2 linked regions of the Macaca mulatta genome follow. Each later gene encodes a partner of the first gene's protein in a complex. Links are inferred from orthologs where the notes say so. Each region holds a gene or a part of one and is shown on either strand. Other genes may lie near its edges. The genes, in order: SUPV3L1 and PNPT1.

Region 1 (8,933 bases):
TGAGACTCTGATTAAAAAAAAATAAAGTAAAATAAACCTTACAGATACTGACATTTGGGGAATCATTTAAAAAGCCAGCTTATCATCCAATCAACCTGCATAAAAACTGAAAAAGCATTAGGCCTATAAACAGAGCTCTGCATTAGCTTATTTCTTCACTTTTAAACATAGACACAGGCAAGGATCACTAGACACATGAGACAAGTTTCCAACAATAAAGGTAGAAACAAAACCAAGCTAGGAAAAAGAAAAAGAATGAGAATAATGTAAGAAACAGAAAAAAATTTTTAAATTACTTTATCTAGAGATACTATAGGTGGAGGTTTATTTTATTTATTTTTTTTTTTTTGAGACAGAGTCTAGCTCTGTCGCCCAGGCTGGAGTGCAGTGGCCGGATCTCAGCTCACTACAAGCTCCGCCTCCCAAGTTTACGCCATTCTCCTGCCTCAGCCTCCTGAATAGCTGGGACTACAGGCGCCCGCCACCTCGCCCGGCTAGTTTTTTGTATTTTTTAGTAGAGACGGGGTTTCACCGTGTTAGCCAGGATGGTCTCGATCTCCTGACCTTGTGATCTGCCCGTCTTGGCCTCCCAAAGTGCTGGGATTACAGGCTTGAGCCACCGCGCTCAGCCTATCTATTTTTTTTGAGACAGGGTCTGGTACTGTTGCCCAGGTTGGAGTGTAGTGGTACCTTCTCAGCTCACTGCAACCTCTGCCTCCTGGGCTCAAGTGATCCTCCCACCTTAGCCTCTCGGGTAGCTGGGACTACGGGCGCACACCAACATGCCTGGCTAATTTTTGCTTTTTTTGTAGAGACAGTGTTTTGCCGTGTTGCCCAGGCTGGTCTTGAACTTTTGAGCTCAAGCGATCTGTCTGCCTTGGCCTCCCAAAGTGTTGGGATTACAGGCGTGAGCCACTGCACCCAGCCAGGTTTATGTATTTTAAAGTTTTGAAACAGGGGAGGGAAATCTCAGCATGATTCCCTTATCCATTTGCCTGTCCCTTAGCAAACCTCTACTTTTCATTGCATCCTAATAGGTTTGAGTTAGACACACACAGAATGACTGCATCATAATTACAGACTCTCAGTTTTGAGTCATAAGAGACTCTGATTTGTGATAATAGTTTTATATATTTGTGATTTACAGTCACTTTTCAAGAGTTTCATTTTGCAGATTTATACTCTTCCACATATATAACATACAAAACATTACAAGTCACTGGATATTACTCTCGGTCATTTTCTAACCACATTTTATTAGATTACCAGGTCTGTATAGTGATAGTTTCTAAGCCTTAGTCCACATCCCATGTTTAAGTTCAGTGGAATCCATAATAATCCAAGGAGGGCTCTCAGGCAAGTACTTCAAAATCTGTGAGAAGACTGCAAGGATAGGAAAGGGCTTTCAGAAAGAGCAACATGACCATAGTGAAATGGGAATGAACACCTGGAATTCAGCTGGCCCTGAAGCCCACAAAGAAAGGTAAGTGACATGTCAAGCTTGTTGCAGAGAAGGAAGACTAGGCTGCTTTCTTGGTGACAATTTTAGGTACACTGAAGAGAACTCTCCAGGGCCACTCCAATTCTACTCTTCCTGTTTCGCTTCACATGCTGCCATCTTTTCTTTAGTCTCTTCTTACTACGGTGCCCTCTTTTCCCTCCAAGGGAAGGAGGACTGAAAGGGCAAACTATCACTATTTATAAATGCTCATTAGCTAAATGTTCAAGCAGCCCTTCCCTTACAGCACCTCCCACCCCCACCTCTCTTATTGGAGGCTTTAACTTTATTTAACTTATTTACTTATTTATTTAGAGACAGAGTCTCGCTCTGTTGTCCAGGCTGGAATGCAGTGGCATGATCACTGCTCACCGCAGCTTCCACCCCAGCCTCCCAAGTAGCTGTACTACTGGTGAACGCCACCACACCTGGCTAATTTTTAAAAATTTTTGTAGAGATGGGGTCTCACTGCGTTGCCCAAGCTGGTCTCAAACTCCTGGCCTCAAGCGATCTTCCTGCCTTGGTCTCCCAAAGTGCTGGGATTACAGGCATGAGCCACTGTGCCCAGCCACTTCCTTATTGAACATATTCAGGACTTTCCACTTGCCTTAGTTTTTAAGTGTCTCGCCTAAGTCTTTTCTCTGACTTACCAACTCTGGCCCCCAAACTGGAGAAAACAGGAGAGTTAACAGCACTATAAGTGATGTACCCCATCACTTAAATACAATGGGACCAAATCCCCTATTTGGTTCAGTTCATAGATATTTCTTGTAACCATCTGGACAAGCATGATTATGTCTGCTATGGTGTAAGTCACAGGGGTAAGCAAATTTTAGAAGCTGCAGTTGCCTCGTTGCAGAATATCAAGAGATAAGCCCTTCCAGGCATTTCACTAGTTTATCCATAAGCAAGGCAGATACAGATTGAGTGCCACCCACTTAGCCTTTATTTCCATGAAGGCAAAGGTCAGAATGAAGATTGTCATCTCAGTTAAATGTCACCTCTAAACTACCGAAGAAAAAAGCAGAGAGAGGTTGCTAATCTGGCTACGTTCCCTCACCCAATTTGAATCAAATCATATTTAATCCCTACTGTGATGTCAGCCTCAATTCAATAGTTGCTCAAGAAATTAGTTCAGTTGTCAGAATAATCTGAGAGCTCAATTCACAGCCCAGACTGGACCCAAACCTTCAGGTTCATTTATATAATAAAATGCTTCCTGTGTGCCAGGCCCTGTGCTAAATGGCACATGATCACATTTAACCTCCAAAACAACTCTAAGTGAGCGTACTGACCATTTTCTTCAAATGTGAGATCAAGCCCAGAGACGGCAAGGCTACTAAGCTGTGAGTGATAAGAAAAGGAACCACATCTGTCTAATTCCAAAGCTTCCACCTTTAAACCCCTTTTAGCTAGGTTTCTGAACAGGGTTGAAAACTTTGTTGGACAAGCATAGGCCACTATGCATCAGACTGGCCTTTGGACAAGGGAAGACCACCCTACCTAAAACAGCCCATCCCTGCCACCCAGCATCACTCTTTACTTATTCTACTTCTTTCTAGCAGTCTTCTCTAAAATTACACCCATTCATCTCACAAAGACTGATTTCTGCTATATTCCAGACACTGTGGATTCAGCAGTGAAACAGACTACAATCTCTGTCCTCATCGGCCTGACATGATTTGTTAACCTGTTCCTGTCTCTCCTACCAAATATGAGATCCATGAGGGTAGAACATTGCCAGTCTTGCTTACTGCATATTTCCAGCACCTAAATAGCCTCTGGTATATGGGTACAATAGACAGCAATGTTTGTCAAAGAATTCCATCCACGACATCCTCAGCATGGCATAGGAAGCTGGTCAAACGATTCACCAAAACGATTTTATTCCCATGCAGAGTTCCTTATGGTGCACTGTCTCAGTACTCTTCTACAAATGGCCATTATATAAAGATTTAAATTAAACCTCTATGATATCCTAGTATTTTCTAAATGTTGAAAAAAAAAACCAAAACAGTTTAGTCATCAAGAGTGATTTTTCTGTGCAAAAAAAAAAAAAAAACCACACACACACACCCCCCCCCCAACACCAAAAAACTCCCAGTACCAGATAGCCACAATACGAGAGCAGGGAGTAAATGCGTATGAGGAAAAAGGATTCAAAATAGATTTTTATTTGCAAAATTAAATTAAAAAAAAGAAAAAAAAAAAAAAAAAAAAAACCAGGAACAGAAAACTAGTCCGAATCAGGTTCCTTCTTCTTTCTTCTTGTCCCTTTTGGATGAGTCCCAGACTCCGTTCTTTCTTTGCTGCATTCAGTCTGTTGTGTCATCCACTCTTTTTCTAGCTGTTTCAGCATGTCTGGAGTGAGGAGTCCTTGCTGCACCAATCTGGAAGCAAGGGACAGCTCTCCTGCATTGGCGCTGGGTGGCTCAGTAGCTTTACTCCCTAGAGCTTTGGTGCCGCGTGTCCTTCTAGCTTGGCTCTTTAAGGTTCCTGACAATCGTGACTGGCTCACTGATGGAAAGCTCTCCAAATTCAACAGCTTATGCGTCTCAGACACTTTAATCAATTTAGTGATATTGTGCACACCATCTTGGATAATACCATCTAGTTCCTTCTGGAGATCTCGAATAAGGCTGGCATCTGGAAACATATCCATAAATCGGTAGCTGGGAAAAAGACACATTAGCATTATGGCAACAGCTCTTACTGCAGTCACTGGACTACTCTCAATGGCACACCTACATCTTGACATTGATTAATTCTAAATGTTCTTTTTGCAAACTCTCTTCAGTGCCTTTGCTCAACCTTTATTTCTGCCCCCACACATCCGAGGAATATGTCATCCTGAGGGAGGGTCAGCACTATACCTCAACAGACTCTTGATATACTCCTAGAGAGGGACATGCACCTCCTTTAAGAATCACTGGCCTAGAACAGGACTTCTCAAATGATAATGGACAAGTGAATCACCCAGGGATCTTGTTAAAATGCAGAATCTGATCAAGTCAGGGATGGGCCTGATACTCCTTAGTTCTAACAAGCTCCCAGGTGATACCAGTGCTTTTGGTCCAAGGACCATCCTTTGACCAGCAAGAGTCCAGTGGACCTTCCTTCTCACCCAGCCAACTTAACTAGAATTGTAATAACTCAAGTCATTTTTGGAATGGGTATAAACCATTCCATCAGTTGAACTGCCTTTATGGACAACAGACATAATATAGAGCATCTTGCAAATATGTCCATAATTTGAAATAGAAAAACAAATTCATAAAACCTTTAATTTGTCCTACTAGAAAAATGAGAGCACATAAAGGAAAAATGTTGGTACCTTAGCCACAGGTAAAGATCCAAGACATCGTGCACGGCTTCAAGATCCATGAGGTCTTTAATATTCCTAGGTGGAAGTAAAGGCCATTTGATGTATCGGCGTAACCATGCAAAGGTCAGGGGCTCATTCCTGCTATACTGCCTGGCAAACTGAGAGGGAAAGAGGAAAAGAGTTTCATAGAAGTGTCAGAATTCCCTTAAGTCTACAATTAGAAAGAGAAAAAATAAGGAAGCAAAACAAAAACATTAATTGTGGTTGTATTTCAATAGACAGGTGGTTTCTTTTCTCCTTTGTACTTTTCTCCTTTGTTAAGAACATTTAATACTTTATAAGGCCAGGTACAGTGGCTCACGTCTATAATCCCAGCACTCTGGGAGGCTGAAGCAGGTAGATCACTTGAGCCCAGGAGTTCGAGACTAGCTGGGGCAACATGGAGAAACCCCATCTCTATAAAAAACACAAAGAATTAGCTGGGCATGGTGGTGTGTGCCTGTGATTCCATCTACTCCTCAGGAAGCTGAGGTGGAGGATTACTGAGCCCGGGGAGGTCAAGGCTGCAGTGAGCCATGATCTAGCCACTGCACTCCAGCAGCGTGAGACCATCTGGAGAAAGAAAAAAAAAAAAAAAAAGAAGATGATTGCCTTCTTTTTCTAAAACCAGGGTAATAATACGTGCAGCAGAAGTTCAAGGGCTACTCTGGGCACACAACCTATAGAGTATCCCTGCTTCACAAGGAGCAGTTTAAAAAAAAAAAAAAAAGAAGAGCTGTAGAAGGACTAACTTTCCAGGGCCTGTCTGTTAACTCTTATTTAGGAATATGTGATGTTCTAAGCTATGGACAGACAGTACCTGAAGACTCCTATTTCTATCTCATTATGTAATAGTCCTATAACCTCAAATATGAGCTTAAGTTTATCTTGTTAATGTTCTCCCTTATTATATAGAATCCCTCTGAGGTGGCCTGGTGCAAGGCTGGTCGGAAGTCAATCTTGGCTCTGCCTCCTGCGAGCTGTGTGGCTTTGGCCAAGTCACCACTCTGTGCTTCAGCTTCCTCACTGGTAACATGAGACACCACAGCCCTGTCTTGAACCACAAGACACTGCTGGGGAATGTGCTTTGAAAACCATGTTGCATTCCAGACATTAGGCAATATTATACATCACCTGTACTACAGAAGATAGACATACAACCACACAGTAAGACCCCTCAAGCAAGAGTTTACATAAAATCTTCAGCTTCAAGATTCAAGCTGATTTCAAATGATTCATTTCCTAATTAGGGGAAATTATCTCTAAATGCTTAACCTAAACAAGGTCAATACTTCAGAGAGGAAGAGTAGTTTTAGATCAACTGTGTTTAAATAATGCCACAATTGTGTTAAATTCAGTCTGGTCCACTCTGCTAAGTTTAATAAATGCCAAGTAGGATAGCCATAAAAGACAGAAATGTGACCACACTGCCTGCCAGGCAGGACAGGCCAAGCATGAGTTCTCAAGTTATCTTATAAAGGCAGTAGCTCTATTTTTTTTTGGCCACAGACAACTAATGGAAGCCCAATACATAAAAGAGCTAAGTAAGGAGTTATGCAGAGAGGGCAGGGAGAGATGCCCGCCCGCCCGCCCATCCATCCATCTATCCATCCATCCGTCCATCCATCCGTCCGTCCATCCATCCATCCATCCAGCAGCTGGCCCTAAAGGAGCTCCATGGAGCACAGCTTCCAAATCACAGTCCTAAGGGGCATGGTAAGTCATCAGTGTGATTGAGCTCTTTCATAGTTCAGTAATGACAAAGATCAAGAAAAAAGGAAAAGCCTCTAGATTTCATATTCTAATTTTCAAACAGAAAACACATGGAGCGGCCAGGCAAGGTGGCTCACGCCTATAATCCTAGCACTTTGGGAGGCCAAGGTGGGTGGATTACTTGAGGTCAGGAGTTTGAGACCAGCCTGGCCAACATGGTGAAACCCCATCTCTACTAAAAATACAAAAAATTAGCCAGGCGTGGTGGCGGGCACCTGTAATCCCAGCTACTTGGGAGGCTGAGACAGGAGAATCACTTGAACCTGGGAGGCGGAGGTTGCAGTGAGCCAAGTTCATGCCACTGCACTCCAGCTGGGGCAACAGAGGGAGACTTCATCTCAAAAAGAAAACACACAGCGCATCATGGCGCACACCTGTAGTCCTAGCTACTCAGGAGGCTGAGGTGGAAGGATCGCCTGAGCCCAGGAGTTTGAGGTTACAGTGAGCTATGATTGCGCCACTGCACTGCAGCCTGGGCAACACAGCGAGACCTTAAGAAAACAAGCAACTGTTGACCTGCACGTTCCAGAGACTCCCTACACTTTAGTATAAAGAGCTTCTATTCACTAGAATAGCTCTTTAAAGGATGGTGTGAATGGGGCCAAGGCCATGGGGACTGAGTTCCACTCAGGTCAGTTTACAGCAGTTTAAGATTGTTCCATAAACTTCAACCTTATGCTAGCTAAGTTTTTCACAAATGCCAGCTCTAAGAAATATATTTTCTAGGTAAACATCTAGACATGGAAGGTCTCTAACACATATTGTTAAGAGAAAAAGAAAAGGCAAGTTTTGAGTAATTCATTAAGATAACGTTGATGGGGCTGGGCACAATGGCTCATGCCTGTAATCCTAGCACTTTGGGAGGCTGAGGCGGGTGGACTGCTTGAGCTCAGGAGTTCGTGACCAGCCTGGGGAACATGGCAAAACCCTGCCTCTACAAAATATAAAAAAATTAGCCAGGCATGGCACGTGCCTGTAAGCCCAGATACTCAGGAGTCTGAGGCACAAGAATCGCTTGAATCCAGGAGGCAGAGGTTGCAGTGAGCTGAGATGGCACCACTGCACTCCAGCCTGAGCGACAGAGTGAGACTCTGTCTCAAAACACAAAAGATAATTTTTTACAGGGAAACGGACCCTCACAAATCTAGTGTTTCCATATGAACATGCATGTAGGCAAACGCAGTGAAAAACAGTCTGCAAAGATACACACAAACTTACACAAGTAGTTATTTCAGAGGACTAAGATTGGGAGGGAGCCACATTTAAGCTATCTGTAATGTTTTCATTTTGTATAAAGAGAATGTATGTATTATTTATGTAATTTTTTTTTTTAAAGGACAGAGTCTTGCTATGTTGCTGGAGATGTTCTCGAACTCTTAGGCTTAAGCAGAGTTGGCCTTCCTGCCTTGGCCTCCCAAAGTGCTGGGATTACAGGCATAAGCCACAGCACTGGACTATTTACATTATTTAAAAAATAAGTTTAGAGATAGATTTGATTAGAATATAGTTCGTATGCAGAATGCTCAGGCCTACAGAGGAAATGGCAATGAACCTCAGTGAGTCAGGACAAGATTCAGAGAAGGGGAGGCCTTTGGGTTTAGTGGGGTGGGGAGAGCATGCAAAGCAGAGGAAATAGGGCGGGCAAGGTCCCAGAGAGGTGAGAGAACAGCAAGTCGGGGCAGGAAGTTCAGTGTCCACTGTCCTTCCTGGCCCCCAGGAATCCTGTGCTTCTCAGAAGTCAGAGATTTGCATCCCTGCCCAAATGAGTAAAAAGGGGCTAGAACCCTGGCATGGTGCTCATACAAGACAGTAACTCCTGGCTCAGTGCTTTACACTTAAGAAAACTGAACATGGCTGGGCGCGGTGGCTCAAGCCTGTAATCCCAGCACTTTGGGAGGCCGAGACGGGCGGATCACGAGGTCAGGAGATCAAGACCATCCTGGCTAACACGGTGAAACCCCGTCTCTACTAAAAAAAATACAAAAAACTAGCCAGGCGAGGTGGCGGACGCCTGTAGTCCCAGCTACTCGGGAGGCTGAGGCAGGAGAATGGCGTGAACCCAGGAGGCGGAGCTTGCAGTGAGCTGAGAGCCGGCCACTGCACTCCAGCCTGGGCGACAGAGCGAGACTCCGTCTCAAAAAAAAAAAAAAAAGAAAACTGAACACTATTGCTACTATTAATCCCTATTTAAGTTTTTACAAAGTCTCTCATATTACAGAGTACTCTTCTAATTGTTTTATGTTGAATAACAAAGTACTGTTTGGGGAAACTGTATGAACCTGAAGGAACTCAAAATAT
Region 2 (9,844 bases), on another chromosome or scaffold:
GGAGTTTGAAGAAAAGGGAAAAGGAGATCTGAGAAGTTGCTAGTGGATTTAAGTTGGATCATTTTTAATGCCCTTCAACAATCATAGGTAAATAAATTCCTTTTAAATTATATTTTGGCTGTTGAACTATACTTGAGGGAAACATAACTCTACTTCCAGAATAACATCTCAGACTGAACCTCATGGATTATAGCTTCAGTAGTAACAACTACAAGAATTTAAACGTTTTATATTTTTGTTTCTACGCTAATCTAAAAATGCTTCATATAAACATATAAACGTATTCCGTATCATCTATATCTTCATAACAAAGCTCTGCTACAAGATTTTAGTGCCTACATTTGCTTTTGAGTTTACTATCCAATTACTACTATTTGAATTATATCAGGTTTATGTGAGGAAATGGGGGTGGGGGATTCTTAATAGGTAAATGCTGCTTTCCATTATTTCTGGCTGGATGAAAGCTAACCGATTCAAGGAGTTCAAGGAGTTCTGAAGAAGAGAAAGATGTTCAGAATACCTGGAAACTGGAGGAAGAATTAACAAAACGCTGGATAAGGCCGGGTGCGGTGGCTCACGCCTGTAATCCCTGCACTTTGGGAGGCCAGGGCGGGTGAATCACCTGAGGTCAGGAGTTATAGACCAACCTGGCCAACATGATGAAACCCCATCTCTACTAAAAATACAAAAAATTAGCCAGGCATGGTGGTGGATGCCTGTAATCCCAGCTACTCAGGAGGCCTGCGGCAGGGGAATCACTTGAACCCTGGAGGCAGAGGTTGCAGTGAACTGAGATTGTGCCACTGCACTCTAGCCTGGGCAACAAGAGCAAAACTCCGTCTTAAAAGAAAAGGAAAAGGCAGGATAATAGCTAAATTTACCATTTATTGATGTTGACAATGTGCTAGGTACTATTATAAATATATCATCTGACATGTTTAATCCTTACAAAAACCCTGTTAGTTTCATGTTACTATCCATTTTTATGGGGAAACTGAGGCTCAGAGAGCTAGGGTCACACAACTGGTAATTAACAGACAAGATCGGAACCAGCTGGGACTAACTCCAAGTCTATGCTCTAAACTATTAGGCAATACTGCCTAAATGAAAATGATTACATAGTACTTAAGTATATTACCAAAAGATGATTTTGTGTTCTTACTCTATAAATCAAAAGTCATGTTCAACTGTGGCAAGTAGGTTTTCTGAGACATTTATCTTCATGACAGATTTCAATAGATTGATTGGTCTTGAAAATGTGGCAACTCAAGGTAAAGTAAAAGGGAGAAGACGCAAAAACTGCTTTAACACTAAAAATCTGTAAACAAGGTTAATGGTAATCCCTCTATTGGCACGGAAATCCCAAATCAGTAATAATAGCTCATGAAAGCAAGGTGTCAGAAAGCTGCTTTGCCACCAAATCATTTATCTGTTTAGAGTTCATCATTCTTTTTTCTTTTTTAAATCATGGATCAACATTTTTCTTTTCTTTCTTTCTTTTTTTTTTTTTTTTGAGATGGAGTCTCGCTCTGGAGTGCAGTGCGTGATCTCGGCTCACTGCAACCTCCGCCTCCTGGATTCAAGCAATTATTGTGCCTCAGCCTCCGGAGTAGCTGGGATTACAGCATGCGCCACCACACCCAGCTAATTTTTGTATTTTTAGTACAGACGCGTTTTCAGCCTGTTGGCCAGGATGAACTGGTTCTCCTGACCTCGTGATCCATCTGCCTCGGCCTCCCAGCGTGCTGGGATTACAGGCGTGGGCCACCGCGCCAGGACTTTTTTTTTTTTTAGACGGAGTTTCACTCTTGTAGAAATGGCGCGATCTCGGCTCACTGCAACCTCTGCCTCCCGGGTTCAAGCGATTACCCTGCCTCAGCCTTCCGAGTAGCTGGGATTACAGGCATGAACCACCCCGCCCGGCTAATTTGGTATTTTTAGTAGAGACGGGGGTTTCTCCATATTGGTCAGGCTGGTCTCGAACTCCCGACCTCAGGTGATCCGCCTGCCTCGGCCTCCCAAAGTGCTGGGATTACAGGCCTCCCAAAGTGCTGGGATTACAAGCCACCGCGTCCAGCCAACGTTTTTAATTCTGAAAACTGTGTTTGAATGAGTGTTGGGTTTTTGTTGCTTGGTTTTCTTTGGGGGAAGGCGGTTATGACCTTATACAAGAAATATACATCATAATATGAAAATGCTCATTGGTTCATTAAAGGAACAACATAAAGAATTTCTAACGGAACGGATTAATGGGATGGAAGAAATTTACCCACTCTCTAAAAATTGTTCAAATCCCAAAAACTTTTTTTTTTTTTTTTCATTTTACAAAATATTTACTTCAAACAGTAGCTGGCATTTTGCATTTAAGAGTTGAACCTGGCCGGGCGCGGTGGCTCAAGCCTGTAATCCCAGCACTTTGGGAGGCCGAGGCGGGCGGATCACGAGGTCAGGAGATCGAGACCATCCTGGCTAACACCGTGTAAACCCCGTCTCTACTAAAAGATACAAAAAAAATTAGCCGGGCGTGATGGCGGGCACCTGTAGTCCCAGCTATTCAGGAGGCTGAGGCAGGAGAATGGCATGAACCCGGGGGGCGGAGCTTGCAGTGAGCCGAGGTCGCGCCGTTGCACTCCAGCCTGGGGCACAGAGCAGGACTCCGTCTCAAAAAAAAAAAAAAAAAAAAAAAAAAAAGAGTTCGACCAAAAGGGACAGGAATATAAATTTCTAATTATTAGCAATGGAAATGAAAATGAATCAGAAATGACAATAAATATTTCTAAAATTACAAGTCGATGAAAAATGAATTAATTTGCTGTAAATCGGTTAACACAAATCGCTGCAGTGTCATATCTGCTATGTGAAATTTATAAAATAAAAACCAGGGCGGAGAAGGGGAGAGGGAGAGCTCTTTCCAAAGGCCCACCACACAAATTCTAATTCTTAGTTCACAGAGTCAAATAATAATAATGTGTTGTTCTATGACTTCTAGTAATAAGAGTAAATATAAATTTACTCTGCATATTACACGTGTACATTATTCTAGGACTTCTCCTTTAAATTACGATAGTACACACACAAAAACCTTATTTATCTAATTGCCTTTCATTGGCAGATAACAACAAAGATCGTTTACAACATAATCGCTTTCTGATAGGTTTGATCCTCTCTAGTCTTCGTAGAAGGTGGCCAACGTTTCCGTTGTCCCGGCGTCCCTTAGGCACCGCGGAAAACGAAACTGCATCAGGCTCCGCCCCACGGTCTGAGGAGTGAGCCAATCAGGGCACAGCCTGGGTTGATCGCGTGCCGGGTGTCATGGCTGCCTGCAGGTACTGCAGCTCGTGCCTCCGGCTCCGGCCCCGGAGCGATGGTCCCTTCCGTCTGCCAGGGCGGGATCGGGCACTCACCCAGTTGCAGGCGCGTGCACTATGGAGTAGCGCAGGGTCTCGAGCTGTGGCCGTGGACTTAGGCAACAGGTAAGGAGTGGCGTGCGTTCCCTGTATTGTCATAAGGCGTCCTGTCCAGCCAGCCTGAGCGTATTCGTCTCCCAGGGTAGAAACCCAGTATCCTAGGTCTATTTAATCTCTCTTTACCCTAAATCTAAATTCCAAATTTCTCTTTCCGGGTTTGGAATGTGACTCCTCGGACCCTCCTTCTTCCCGCGCTATCTCATGCCCTCTGTTGGTGTGTGCCGGGCTTCTTTGCTCCATCCGACTCTGTCCCTCCACCTGACTTCCGATCTCTTTACTTTCCGGGACCACTGGACTCTTAAGTGGGAAACATTCCACCTAGGGATAACGAGTTGACGTGGATGTATCACGTCATCCAATCTAATTGATTGCCTAAAGTGTGGCCACTATGACCCCCGGTTAGGAGGGAAAGGAAAAGTCAGTTTTTTGAACGCCAGTTATAGGATCCTCGCAATCTTTTTAAACCTGTCGTAAAGGTACTATTACCCTCGTTTTGTAGAGGCTCAAAAAAGGTTAGATAACTTTCTAAGAGTCAATTAAAAAGTATTGTGGGACTAGGTGGTTTTTGAATTTCTGTTTCTTGCTTACAAAGCCCGTACTTTTTTAAGGGACCGTTTAAAAAAGAAAAAACTTATGCTTTAATCGTTTTTAGAATAAATGGAATTGCTAATGCAAACTTCATATATCTAAATTTCTTTTTTTTTTTTTTTTTTTTTGAGAAGGAGTCTTGCTCTGTCGCCCAGGCTGGAGTGCAGTGGCCGGATCTCAGCTCACTGCAAGCTCTGCCTCCCAGGTTTACGCCATTCTCCTGCCTCAGCCTCCCAAGTAGCTGGGACTACAGGCACCCCCCACCTCGCCCGGCTAGTTTTTTGTATTTTTTAGTAGAGACGGGGTTTCACCGTGTTAGCCAGGATGGTCTCGATCTCCTGACCTCGTGATCCGCCCGTCTCGGCCTCCCAAAGTGCTGGGATTACAGGCTTGAGCCACCGCGCCCGGCCTTATCTAAATTTCTTACGTGTACTTTGAAAAAATTTTGACCCCAGTTCATACAAAAAGCAAAAAAATCGTTTTGAATCCAGGTCTCCCACTCTAACTTTGATAAGTAATTCACGTTGAACAAGTTAATTCACCATTTTCTTGTGCAAAGTGTGGAGACTGGATTCCATTAAGGGTCTGCAAACTTTTTCTGTAAAGGACTGGATAATATATATATTAGGCTTTTTGGGGTATACACTGTGTGTATGTGTTTACAAACCCTTTAGAAATGTTTTAAAAAACGGCCCAGCACAGTGGCTCACACCTGTAATTCGAGCACTTTGGGAGGCTGAGGTGGATGGATCACCTGAGGTCAGTAGTTGGAGACCAGCCTGGCCAACATGGTGAAACCCCATCTTTACTAAAAATACAAAAATTAGCTGGGCATGGTGGCAGGCACCTGTAATTCCAGTAACTTGGGAGGCCGAGGCAGGAGAATCGGTTGAACCCAGGAGACAGAGGATGCAGTGGCCGAGATTGTGCCATTGCACTCCAGCCTGGGCGACAAAAGCAAAACTCTGTCTCAAAAATAAATAAATAAATAAAAATAAAAAAACATTTTTAGTTACAGAGTAGTACAGAAATAGGCCATGAGCTGTAGTTTGGTCACCCCTAAACTAGGTTATCTCTAAGGCTCATTCCACTCCCAGCATTCCTTAATTCTGATTTTTGAGGGAAGAGGACATCTTTTCCATTCTTCAAGGACTGCACATGCTTCGAAGAAATGCCCAGAACATTTCATTCAACAGTCACGTACTGTGAGATAGGCACTAGATACTCAAAACAAGATGCAGCTCCTACCCTCCATATTTTCCATAAATAATCTACTTTGACTCTTTCTTTTATTAATCAACCTGTTCTTTTGTAGATAGTTCTCTTTAAACTCGTGTCATGTATTGAAATAACTAGACTCATAAATATCATACTTGCTGGATAAATTCTTTCATTTTTGTCTTGTTTGCCATTGGCAACATTTATTGAGTGACACATTATATTTGTTACCATATGTATTCTTTACTGCATTCTAGAAGATTATATAATTATTGTAGGTGTTTTTCAGATAGTATATTTAATGCTCACGGTAACCTTGGAGGCAGGTGTTTAATTTTCATTTCAGCAGTCTTTTATTGAGCATCTACTATGCATCAAATCACTGAGGATATTCAAAAGAGTATGCCACTGTGGGCAAAATGCTAAGGCAGTAGCCCCATTAATGGAGTAGACCTGTAGCTGTCACAGCTTTTCTTCCCTGTGTTTTGGGCCCACTGTAGTCTAGTTAAAGATCCTCCACTCCCCTTCACAGAGATCACTTAGGTATTCAGAATTCACACTGGTAGACAGAATGCCAGTTCCTGGTAGGTTTTGAGAAGTATTGGTAGCATCTTACTTGGGGTTAAACAAAATTTCAAGATGCCAAATTTACATTTGCCACAGGAAACCATTACTTAATACTGATTTCAGCTATAGGTTGTTGCAGGTCTGTGATACTACACAGTATGACTGGTTTTGAGTATCCCATTCCTTCCATCTACTCCACGTATTAATCCAGCACCAGCCTCCTCTCTGTACCTCATTATTCCCATTAGTCAGAGGACACCCATTTTATTGTAGGCTTTCATCATTATACCATCTGTATTGACTAAGTAGAAACCCAACTAGAACTTATCAAATATTCCCTGATTCAAAAAAAAAAAAAACTAATATTTCAGAGTCAAGAATTTGGTACTACAAAATCACTATTTATTAACATGTATTAAATGTACATACTTTGTTCTGACTTTCAAACTTAACAAAATGGGTCTAACTGAACAGATGAATATGCTTTTCATTAACTCAGGCTTCTGGCAAAGGTATTTAACAGGTGAAAATATTAAGGGTTGTTCCTTCATCTCTTTGGTATGTGAAGGACAGAATAATCTTATTTGGGGCAGGGCATTGGGCCTGTCTGCATGCTTGTGTTTGGTTTGTGCATTTTCAGCACCAGACTATGAAAGAAGGTTGCTGAAGCTGAGTTCATGTGACAGAGCATCTTCCTCTGTATCTTCAGGGGTCACTGACTTGGTTTCATCTCAAAACACCTTTTGATGAATCTTGAGCTCTTTGACAAGTTTTGCTGGTCTGTTTCAAGACCTCAGTAAGCTCTTTTTGCATTCTCTGCTGAAACTGGGGAATAAGGCTGATAGTGCTGCCTATTTCATGTATATAAGACAGCTTTATTAAGATATAATTCACATACCATACAGTTCATTTAAAGTGTACAACTCGTCTGGGAGCAGTGGCTCATGTCTGTAATCCTAGCACTTTGGGAAGCCAAGGCAGGAGGATTGCTTGAGTTTGAGTCCAGGAGTTTGAGACCAGCCTGGGTAACATAATGAGACCTCATCTCTACAAAAAAATTTAAAAATTAGGCCAGTATGGTGGTGCACACCTGTATTTCGAGCTACTCAGGAGGCTGAGGTGGGAGGATTGCTTGAGCTTGGGAGGTCAAGGCTGCAGTGAGCTGTGATGGCACCACTGCACTCCAGCCTGGGCAACAGAGCAAGACCCTATCTCAAAATAAATAAATACAGATAAATAAAGTGTATAATTCAATGGATATTAGTATATTCAAAGTTTTGCAGCCATTACCACCATCAATTTTAGAACACTTCTATCACCCTAAAACGAAATTCATTAGTAGTAGTCACTTAGTATTTCTCCCCAGCCCCAGGCAACCACTAATCTACTTTCCATCTCTGTGGATTTGCCTATTATGAACGTTTCTTACGTGGAAACATAGTCTTTTGTGACTGCCTTCTTTCACTTAACATAATGTTGTCAATGTTTATTCATGTTGTAACATGTATAAGTACTTTGTTCCTTTTTATCACTGAATAATAATCCGTTGTATGAATTATACCACATTTAGCTTATCCATTCATCAGTTGATGGACATTTGGGTTGTTTCCATTTGGGAACTACTATGAATAATGCTACAAGGAACATTCATAACAGGTTGTGATTTTGATTTGCATTTCCCTGCTGATAGTTAATGATATTGAGCATATTTTTATGTCCTTACTGGCCATTTGTATGTCTTCTTTGGAGAGATGTCTGTTCAAGTCCTTTGCCAAGTGTGTTTTTTTTTTTTTTTTTTTTTTTTTTTGAGACGGAGTCTTGCTCTGTTGCCCAGGCTGGACTGCAGTGGCCGGATCTCAGCTCACTGCAAGCTCTGCCTCCCAGGTTTACGCCATTCTCCTGCCTCAGCCTCCCGAGCAGCTGGGACTACAGGCGCCCGCCACCTCGCCCGGCTAGATTTTTGTATTTTTTAGTAGAGACGGGGTTTCACCGTGTTAGCCAGGATGGTCTCGATCTCCTGACCTCGTGATCCGCCCGTCTCGGCCTCCCAAAGTGCTGGGATTACAGGCTTGAGCCACCGCGCCTGGCCGCCAAGTGTTTTTTTGTTTGTTTGTTTGTTTGTTTGTTTGAGACGGAGTCTCGCTCTGTCACCCAGGCTGGAGTGCAGTGACCGGATCTCAGTTCACTGCAAGCTCCGCCTCCCGGGTTCACGCCATTCTGCCTCAGCCTCCCGAGTAGCTGGGACTACAGGCGCCCGCCACCTCGCCCGGCTAGTTTTTTGTATTTTTTAGTAGAGACAGGGTTTCACCGTGTTAGCCAGGATGGTCTCGATCTCCTGACCTCGTGATCCACCCGTCTCGGCCTCCCAAAGTGCTGGGATTACAGGCTTGAGCCACTGCGCCCAGCCTCTTTGCCAAGTTTTAAAATTCAGTTGTCTTTATTGTTGAATTGTAAGCATTATTTAAATATTCTAGATATTAATACAAGTCCCTTATCAGATACTTGGTTTGCAAATATTTTTCTCTTAATATATGGCACTTCTTTTACTCTTAAAGTTTTAAATTTTTATGAAATCCAACTTACCTATTTTTTCTTTTGTCATTTATGCTTTTGATGTCATATTTAAGACTTTGGCCCAAGTCTCTGAAGATTTACTCCTGTGTTTTGTTTCTAAGACTTTTATCGTTTTAGCTCTTAACGTTTAAGTCCAGGATCCATTTTGAGTTAATTTATGAAGATTCATTCTTTTTTGCATCCGGTTGTTCACTATTGCCTCACAAGACTACTCTTTCCTCATTGAATTGAAGATTATTCTTTCCCCTTCTGTTGAACGTGAAGGTCCTTATAGGCAATATTTAGGAGTTTATATTTTGTCCTAAAAGCATTGGGAGAAATTCTCAAGTGTTTTTTGTTGTTGTTGTTTTGGTATGGAGTCTCAACTCTCGCCCAGGCTGGAGTGCATTGGCACAATCTCGGCTCGCTGTAACTTCCCCCTCCTGGGTTTAAGCAACTGTCTTGCCTCAGCCTCCCTAGTAGCTGGGATTATAGACAGGCACCACCATGCCCAGCTAATTTTGATATTTTTAGTAGAGATGGGGTTTCACCATGTTGGCCAGGTTGGTCTTGAACTGCTGACCTCAGGTGATCAGCCTGTGTCAGCCTTTCAAAGTCCTGGGATTACAGTTGGGAGACACCACGCCTGGCTAAAGGATTTTTAAGTAGGGAAACAATCCTATTTGTATGTTAAAATGTTACTGTAGTCAACAAGGTGAGAGATGATAAGAGACTGTACTAAGATGGTAAATGGAGCCAGGCACCTTGACTCACACCTGTAATCCCAGCACTTTGGGAGGCCAAGGCGGGAGAATTGCTTGAGGCCAGGAGTTCAAGACCAGCCTAGACAATATAGTGAGATCTCATCCATAACAAAAACTAAAATTAGCCAAGTGTAGTGGTGTGCACCTGTAGTCCCAACTACTCAGGAAGCTGAGTTGGAGGATCGCTTGAGCCCAGGTGTTCAAGGTTACAGTGAGTTGTAATTGTGCCATTGCACTCCAGCCTAGGCAACAGAGCAAGACTCTGTCAAAAAAAAAAAGAAAAGAAAAGAAAAAGAAGATACAAGACACAATGACCCACCACCCACCGTCGCCCCCGCAAAAAAAAAAAATAGATGGTACATGGGAATTAACATTTAGGGAAGCAGTTAACTTCTGAACCTCCAAAATGCTTTCCTGTTCAGATCAATCCTGTGCCTTGGTTTCTGTATTCTTCTTTAAGTCACTCTTAAGTTCCCCTTTTACTTTTGATAATGATCATGGATTCTGCCCCTTTTTGTTGGTGGGGTGGGTGGGAGGGGTTTAGAATCTTCCCTTAGAATCTTTTATTATTTTATACTAAGCAGGAATTGTACAGATAACCTAAGTCTTCTTGTATTGCATTTTTATTTTTAAACAGGAAATTAGAAATATCCTCTGGAAAGCTGGCCAGATTTGCAGATGGCTCTG

The links.
Region 2: SUPV3L1 (region 1) and PNPT1 share a complex: the UniProt entries of both Homo sapiens proteins name them as parts of the mitochondrial degradosome (mtEXO) complex. The link is inferred for Macaca mulatta from reciprocal best matches to the Homo sapiens genes SUPV3L1 and PNPT1.

Annotation. Positions count from the first base shown.
Region 1 is NC_133414.1:80,430,153-80,439,085, forward strand, and holds the end of SUPV3L1 (ATP-dependent RNA helicase SUPV3L1, mitochondrial), read right to left. Parts: intron 4,982-8,933; coding exon 4,833-4,981; intron 4,171-4,832; coding exon 3,735-4,170; 3' UTR 3,644-3,734; downstream 1-3,643. UniProt on the Homo sapiens protein: Major helicase player in mitochondrial RNA metabolism. Component of the mitochondrial degradosome (mtEXO) complex, that degrades 3' overhang double-stranded RNA with a 3'-to-5' directionality in an ATP-dependent manner.
Region 2 is NC_133418.1:68,927,062-68,936,905, forward strand, and holds the start of PNPT1 (polyribonucleotide nucleotidyltransferase 1, mitochondrial), read left to right. Parts: upstream 1-3,294; 5' UTR 3,295-3,312; coding exon 3,313-3,473; intron 3,474-9,794; coding exon 9,795-9,844. UniProt on the Homo sapiens protein: RNA-binding protein implicated in numerous RNA metabolic processes. Catalyzes the phosphorolysis of single-stranded polyribonucleotides processively in the 3'-to-5' direction. Mitochondrial intermembrane factor with RNA-processing exoribonulease activity.